Linked DNA regions of Danio rerio. The protein of the gene in region 1 purifies or fractionates together with the protein of each later gene. This does not show direct contact. Links are inferred from orthologs where the notes say so. Each region holds a gene or a part of one and is shown on either strand. Other genes may lie near its edges. The genes, in order: zgc:110269 and rad1.

Evidence for each region.
Region 2: the proteins of zgc:110269 (region 1) and rad1 purify together in Homo sapiens (affinity purification with western blotting; 3 studies listed by BioGRID). This does not show direct contact. The link is inferred for Danio rerio from reciprocal best matches to the Homo sapiens genes FEN1 and RAD1.

Annotation. Positions count from the first base shown.
Region 1 is NC_133177.1:18,816,509-18,820,856, reverse strand, and holds the start of zgc:110269 (probable flap endonuclease 1 homolog), read right to left. Parts: upstream 2,888-4,348; 5' UTR 2,784-2,887; coding exon 2,702-2,783; intron 1,228-2,701; coding exon 1,152-1,227; intron 524-1,151; coding exon 421-523; intron 281-420; coding exon 226-280; intron 1-225. Other genes in the region: serine/threonine-protein kinase ATR, read left to right, coding at 3,149-3,204, 3,314-3,405. UniProt on the Homo sapiens protein: Structure-specific nuclease with 5'-flap endonuclease and 5'-3' exonuclease activities involved in DNA replication and repair.
Region 2 is NC_133190.1:26,248,731-26,253,093, reverse strand, and holds the start of rad1 (cell cycle checkpoint protein RAD1), read left to right. Parts: upstream 1-1,551; 5' UTR 1,552-1,614; intron 1,615-2,247; 5' UTR 2,248-2,257; coding exon 2,258-2,452; intron 2,453-2,535; coding exon 2,536-2,644; intron 2,645-2,718; coding exon 2,719-2,977; intron 2,978-4,269; coding exon 4,270-4,363. UniProt on the Homo sapiens protein: Component of the 9-1-1 cell-cycle checkpoint response complex that plays a major role in DNA repair. The 9-1-1 complex is recruited to DNA lesion upon damage by the RAD17-replication factor C (RFC) clamp loader complex.

The DNA.
Region 1 (4,348 bases):
CAGTTAGCTATGGTATGATGTAATAATATTCTAAAATACTATGGTAGTGATTAAAACAATGCAGCCCCTGTAAGCATAAAATAGCTTGAAAAAAAAAAACAACAACAACAAAGCCGTGAACAAATATAACCAGCTCCAAACTTATCGACTGAGTATATGAGGAAACATTTAAAATATACATTTTTCACAGATCCAGTTGCAACAGTGTTGAAGCCACATATTTACCTGTGTTGGGGCTCTGTGAGCTGCTCCAGCCTGTGCTTTGAGCTCTTTTCTCCAGCTAAAAAAATAACGTTTTACTAAATACAAACTAATTATATGTATATATATATATATATATATATATATATATATATATATATATATATATATATATATATATATATATATATAACTATTCAACAGAAGTCTGAATCTCACCACAGCTCTCTTTTGATGGGGTGGCTTTCCATCAAGTACAAAGACAGGCTTGATGTCATGCTCCAGGAAAGCAAGAGTGCGGTAAAACAAGCCAGCGAGGGGACTGCAACAATAGATATTCATTTTGTAAACAGAAACATATAACATGGAATAAAGAGCTGGGCAATTTGGCCGAAAATCTAAATCCCAATTAATTAAACAGTTTAACTCAATAACTATTCATGAACAATTATTTAATTTATTCATTAATTATTAATTATTAATTGATTATTAATTCATGTTTTATTCATATAGTTCACTGACAAGTTTTGTACAAGAAATAAGCTCACATATTACAATATTTATTATATATTTATTACAACATTAATTAACATTAATATTTATTACAACATTAATAATATTTTAAACAGTGCATTTATTGCATCTTCTATTTTAATGTAAATAATTATTTTAAATGAATGGAAAATATGCCGGCTCAAGGCATCTCTGACGCAGCTCCCAATCATTGTCACTGTAGTGCAAAGTAAGGCTCAATAACAGTTCCATCGTCTTACTTGACCCAAGATCAGATGTGGCCGCGAACCCTTGACTCTACACATGGTAGAGAACGTAATTGAAAAAAATGACCTTGAAAAATTTGATCGATTATGGGTTCTGAATGTTGATTTCAATGACCTTTTAATTAATCGCCCAGCCCTAGAAGGGCAATACAAAAAATGAATTGAACTGACCTTAGTTTCAGATGGCCAGGGAGAGCTGAACGGAACTGATTCACCACAATAGATGTATCTAGTGCGATAATCTTACCTGAATCACAGATAAATGACATTTAATACAGTTTATTTTGGGTAAATATAACAGAAAAGAGACAATTCTGAGAAGAACAGGGTTTTTTAAAGCTAAAAAGCTGCAAGGAAGTGCTACAAGGTGAGTGGAAAGTTTGAAGATAAAGAATAAAAATGGCAAAAAAGTATCAAAAACAAAACTGAACGATCACACATTTTATTAAGATAAATAAATGACACAATAAACAAACATTAGTATAAATTAAACAAATATTTAGAATTAAATTATAATAGCATACTGATTATACAATGAATAAATAAGATTAGAATATATAATATGTTATCCACAATTTGTTTAAAATTATGAAATAAATAACTAGGATAAAACTAAATATAAGTATTATTGTAAAATATTATTGTTTTATCTTAATAATTATTAAATTGATTAGAATAAACAAACAAACAAACAAATAAACAATAAATAATTAAATAGAGCACATAATTTATTATTCTGAAGGTTTTAGTTCTACAGGTTTTATGAAAGTTCATTTAAAAGGCCACATTAAAGACCATAGAATACATTGACACAACACAATCCATCACCATGTTTTAAAAATGTAAATATCTATGAACCACAAAATAAGTTGCATTAGCAATACTTTCTACAAATTTTCCAATATACTTCTACCTCGCAGTACCTAAAAAATAGGTTCTTTATTAAATCATTTGTTGCCTCACAGTACAAATACCTTAAAAATTCATTCAATCAAGATGCATTTACTTGAGAAGCAAAATGATAAAATATATGAAGTCTTGTTTTCTAAAATATTGATGAACAATTCATTCATTCATTTATTTATTCATTTTCTTTTCGGCTTAGTCCCTTTTTATTAATCTGGGGTTGCCACAGCGTAATGAACCACCAACTTATCCATATGTTTTACACAGTGAATACAACCCATTGGTGACATTTTAAATATATTCACTAAATACTGATTATAAGAAACTAATTCTAAACTAAAACATTATTCATGTGCTTTATAAAAATGTTAATCCTAAAGGTTTTGCCAGCAGAAATAACCCAAATGTTTCTTACACCCCCAATCACAGAGCAGTCAAGTCAGATAAAGATTTAGTTTTTTAAACAATTCATTATTTTCGATTTTTTTTGTACATTTAAAAAAATCACTTAAAATGTAGAGATTTAATTTAGATAAAACATGAAAAAGAAGATTCAGTGATATAGGGAAAAAACAGCTAAATAAATTTTAAAAAGTTAATAAAACTACAGGATGCATTTTAGGACTGTTGGGCCCCATGGCTGGAACAGTTTAGGGCCCCCAAATCACTATATATATATATATATATATATATATATATATATATATATATATATATATATATATATATATATATATATATATATATATATATATATGTCTGAATCCTTATTGTTAACGTTTAACTACATTATAACTTCAATGCATTAATCTTACCAGAATAATCGCCGATCTCTTTGCTGCGCATTGACGCTGGTGCGTCGAAATGAATTAAATGCGCTAATTTTGTAATCCCCATATTAAATTAGCAGCGTTTTTAGCAGTAAATAGTGCTCGATGAACTGTTGTTTTGGTCATTCATCGCACACACAGCTTCATTTCCGCATCGTGCCAGGGTCTCACGATGTTTCCATGGTAACATGGTACTGATAGGGTACTTCGACATACGTCATCAAATCGTTTCAAGACTTCCTTTGCTTACAACAGACTGACCCAACTCACTTGCCGTAGTAGACGGCGAAAGTGCGAAAAGAGTTTTGAAAGTGATGCGCGTGGGGAAGAAGCAGAGGATGGGCAGGCTCACATTATTCTAAATGTTTCATTAGGTCAACACGACCTAAACTTTTTTTTTGCAAATAATAAGAACTCATTTACCAAGTAAAGATGGAGCAAGGACTAGAAATGTCAGCAATGATTCCTGCACTGCAAGAATTAGCAAGGTAACGTCAATGGCTGCTAACAGCGACTATTATTTTTTTAAAGTGTCTTTAACATGACTAACGTTATTAAAGAATAAATCAAACACAAGGCTTGTTTTGTGTTTTCCAGTGCCAGTTCGGTTGAGTACAACCAGGCAGTGCAGAAACCTCGTCAGATACTTTGTCAGTTCATTGACAGGATATTGACAGATGTTGATGTCGGTAAGAAACAATAAACTGTATTTTGGGGTTTGTTGAGAATAGTTGTTCTTACATGAAAGTTCTGTCATTATTTACTAACACTTGTGCTTTTTCAAACCAAGCTGAATGAAAGTAAAGCTATAAGCTTGTAGTTGACTTTACATAAAACCCGAGAAATACTGAAAAATCTTAATGTAAAGTCCTCTGTGGATGATTTATGTTTTTTATATGCTAATAGTTATAAATGCTAATAATTATATTACATGTTAGATGAAACTTCTAAATAATGCTTGTCAAATGGCTTTCAGAGTGTGTTTTTTATTTCAATTGTATGTACAGCTTTATAGTCGAGGTATTTTATTTCAGTGTAACTTAATATATGTATAGTATAGGACAGTGGTTCTCAAACTTTTTTTCATCAAGTACCACCTCAGAAAAAAATTGTCTCTCCAAGTACCACAAAAATGAGCAGTATTGAAATACAGTAGCGTAGTAGACCCAGTAAAGCAGCTACAACTCTGCAAAGTAAAAAAAAAAATGTGGCAGATTACCTCAGAAATATAGGCTAAATGTCACATATGGCATATTATTTACATAATTTTTGAAAAATTTTGAAATGTGTATAGCATGTACATGACATATTTTATTCCTCCACGTACCACTAGAAGGAAGCCTGCGTACCACTATTGGTACACGTACCACAGTTTGAGAACCACTGGTATAGGATATTATGCCACCAAATTAAATTTATGGGACAATTATAATCCAGAAATGGATGATCAACATTGGCAGTAGTGTATGAGTGCATGTGTACATGTGAGAGAATATGGGTGTTGTCCAGTAATGGTTTGCAGCTGGAAGGGAATCTGCTGTGTAAAACATATGCTGGAATAGTTGGTGGTTAATTCTGCTGTGGTAACTCCTGATAAATAAAGGACTAAGCTGAAGGAAAATGAATGAATGA
Region 2 (4,363 bases), on another chromosome or scaffold:
GTTAAATTGTAATGAATTAAGTGTTTTTAAAATAAATAAAGACAGCAGAAGTCATGGATTCATTTGAACTTTTTAGTCTGATTTGTTAACTGCTCCTAAATATTTGAAAAATAAATATTGTGTTCAAAGGGGGGAAAGTTTTAGTTTTTTACCCAGACATTTAAAAAGAATATATTTCAGAGCAGTAATCTTAATACCGTGAAACTGATATTTTTTATTCATGGTTTTCATACTGTCAGAATCCTATACCGGCCCATGCCTAACTACACCATCTATGTTTTTAAGAGAATCTCCATACAATCATTGTATGCAACCTGGAGCTTATGGACACTTTATTTAATTATACCACAGAGGAGCTGTGTATAAAGAACTGCAATAAGTTCTAAAGAGGTTTAACTTTTAACCTGCTCCGAAAACTTTCTCCCTAGCAAATTTGCTTCAACATATAACTTTAAACGTTCCCTGTACATGTACTTTTTATCACTCATATCTTCTGTAATGACATGCCCTAAATATTTAACAGCCTTACTAGCATTTAAATTTTGCCGTGACATCATGTAAACACTCCTTTTTAACCTAACCTTTTTTATTATATTGCACATCATAGTTCTCTCTCTCTCTCATATATATATATATATATATATATATATATATATATATATATATATATATATATATATATATATATATAAACTTATTTTTATCACATGTTAAAGCAACTCTTTATTCCACCACACGAAGATAATACAATATAACGTGATAAATGCTTTAGCAATGATAAACAAAACAATCTGATTCCATCATGACAATCTCTTGCAATAAAGCATATCCCAATTCACAATGAGCTAGCTAACGGATTAGCTAGTTAACGTAGCAGGTTCATTTGAAGTAACGTTACATGAAACTACCACAGTCGTTACATTGCACCAACCACGTAAGCGTAGAGTATGTTTACTTAAAAGAAGAGGTAGAGATGCTATTGTTCACAAAATTCGCTTTGTTGCTGATATGGTCTGGTTGCCATTGAGATAGATAAACACAAACAAACAAACAAACCAGCTGGGAACTCCACAATCTTATTAAACTGTATATACAATATTTACAATTACTGAACAAAATGGCACTTTATAAAGTAAAATAAACTAGTAAATGTCATAACCCTACCTGACTTTTGTTTGGTTATGTGGCACTTCTGTTGGACCGACCGACCGCTTCCTCGCATCTGTCTGGCGACGGCCCGTCCAACTCGTGATGAAACGGAGGGGTGTACGAGTGCATCTTAAATATATTTATGTTTGAGATCTCGCCTTCTTTAAATTAAATAAACACCCTTATGTCTCATAAATAACTGAATAAGCGGTTATGTTATCTGTTTTGCAATAGTGTAGTAACACAAATTCATAGCCAACTTTAAAAACCTACCCCCTCCTAATACTGTAAACGTTTATGTATGAACTCGTCCTGCAGTTCTGCATCAGACCCATATGCGCGCGCGAGACAACTGATGGGAAGCTAAACTTAGTCAAAATCACAAGAAGAAGAGCTAATGGCAACAATTTAAGGGCGCCAAACTCTAAAATGATATTAATTTGTCATATTTCATATATCTAACAGGTGAGTTCAGCAACAGGAACATGTACTGTGTATGTTTAATGTTCGCCCTTTCACGGCCTGACGCCATTTTAGCTAACTAACTTAGTAACGTTAGTAACTTACAACTAGTTGCCAATATTATGTTTATTAATTCTCGTCACAATTTGTAAACAGCTGATAGAAACTTGTTCATGTTTCTGTTAAAGACATTTTCAAGTTCATTAGAAAAATTAACATTCAGATATCTCGTTTTTTTAATAAAAGACGGCGACAATACATTTTTCTGTGTTTAACTTGTTTTTAATTGTTATGGATTCCATATTTTAGTATTATAATTGACAATTATGATTATGTTTGCATTCAAAATAGAACATAGTAGCCATTCTAGCACACATTTAAACAACATTAGTTTTACTTACAAAACAAGTTAGAAAAAATAGTACAAAACAAATATGAAAATGTTAAAACTTCAATCTGATATGCAAATTTGATGTTTTTTTTTTTCCATTTAACGATTGTTATCTGTAAACTATTGGACCAAATACTGCCTACATTCTTTAATTAAATTTAATATTTTAACTTTTCTGTGAATTTATTGTATACAATATTTACTACTTATTTATTTAACATTTCTACTTTGAAATGTCATTACAGATGTAATAACATGCCTCTGTCAACTCAGTCCCAATCCGATGTTGACCAGTACATCCTGATAGCCAGTTTGGACAATGCAAGGAATCTGTCCAACATCCTAAAAGCCATCTCTTTCAAGGATCATGCCATCTTCAATGCAACACAGAATGGGTTGAAAGTCACAGTTGAGGACTCCAAATGCCTTCAGGCCAATGCATTCATTCAGGTTGATGTTAGCAGACAAATTCAGACACTTTCTGCTGAGAACAGTTGAATCTTTAAGCATATTTGTGTATTTTCTGACATCAGGCTGACATCTTTCAAGAATACATCATCAAAGAGGATGCAGTTGGCTTTCAGGTTAACTTAACTGTTCTTCTCGATTGCCTCACCATCTTCGGGGGAAGCACAGTGCCAGGTGTGTATTACAATTGTGATCCAGTCTTTTTTTGGGAAATGTAACATAATCTTTGTTTTTATTTTATCATTAAGGTGTGTGCACCGCCTTGAGAATGTGCTACAATGGATATGGATATCCACTAACTTTGTTCCTGGAAGAAGGTGGTGTGGTCACTGTATGCAAGATTAACACACAGGAGCCCGAGGAGCCCATAGACTTTGACTTTTGCAGTACAAACGTGACCAACAAGGTGATTCTGCAGTCGGACAGTCTTAAAGAGGCTTTCTCTGAGCTGGACATGACCAGTGAGGTTCTGCAGATTACCATGTCACCGAGCCATCCTTACTTCAGGTACAGTAGTTATGAACATGACATGTTTGAAGTGGTTTAAATAAGGGATGTCCAGATCACGTTTTTTTTTTTGTTTTTGCCTCCGAGTCATTTGATTTTGAGTATCTGCCAATACCGAAACTCGATCTGATACTTTTATAATGCATTAAAAAAATAAAGAAGAGCAAAGAAATAAATCCAGTATGTTCCTTATTTTTTATTTAGTTCACTGTATTTTAACATTTAACAAAGATCACTTCTGTGAGGTAGCTTGAACAATCAAGTAATAAGTAACATAAATTCTTCACTTTTGGACTTAAGTGCAACATTAAATATTTAAAAAATCTAATATTAAACCAAAAAGCACCTTATCTTAAAATACTCAGCAGGCAACGCTGCTGTTTCTGTGTGAAGTTAAGAAAGAGGTCTAACTCTGTGACATCGCATAACAATATATGTGTTAAAAAAAAACAAATATATATATATATATATATATATATATATATATATATATATATATATATATATATATATATATATATATATATATTGATCTTGACATCTCTAATTTAAATGTTTATTTTTTTTCCATCTGATAAAAAAATGCTTACAAGGTTTCTTTTATTTTTATAAAAAATTGAAAAATCACAGTACATTTGTGAAATCTTCCCACAATTTACAGTATGTGTTTGCATTGTGATATTTAAGAATGCTGTTCAGTCCTGTGATGGCAAAGCTCAACTTCCAGCACAATGTGTCCAGTCTTCCACATCTCATGATCCTCCAGAAATCATTCAAATGCACTGATTTCCTATTTAAGAACAGTATAAGATTTTTTAGAAATGGTTATTGATACAGTTTTTGTTTAATGGAAAGCTCAAATGAAAAGCATTTATTTGAGGATAACGTTATTTATTTTGATAAATGCAGGTCAGAATATGTTTTCCACTTTTAAACCTTTGGTGATATGATATAAGCATTCAGGGTTTTTTTAACAAATGAAAAAAACAAACAAAAAAATTTGCGGTTTGTTTTTTATTTATTTATTATTAACTAATTTAATGCATTTTAATTAATTTATTTATTTGAATATATGGTTCAAATAGAAAAATAATAAATGTAATTTTATATAATGTAGGTTAAGTGTTTATGTTATTAATTCATATAATTTTGTGAAAAATATTTATTTTTGACTCAGAATAAAAGCAGGACACATTTATATGTGCAAGGAAAAATGATCTGAAGCTGCTTTGTACTTTTTTTGCTTTCGTGCTTGTAAAAGCTTTTAAAAACATTTTTCCTTTTCTTCCTAGATTATCCACATTTGGTAATTCTGGAAATGCCCATTATGATTATCCCAAGGACTCAGACATGATGGAGCTGTTCCAGTGTACAAAAATACAGACC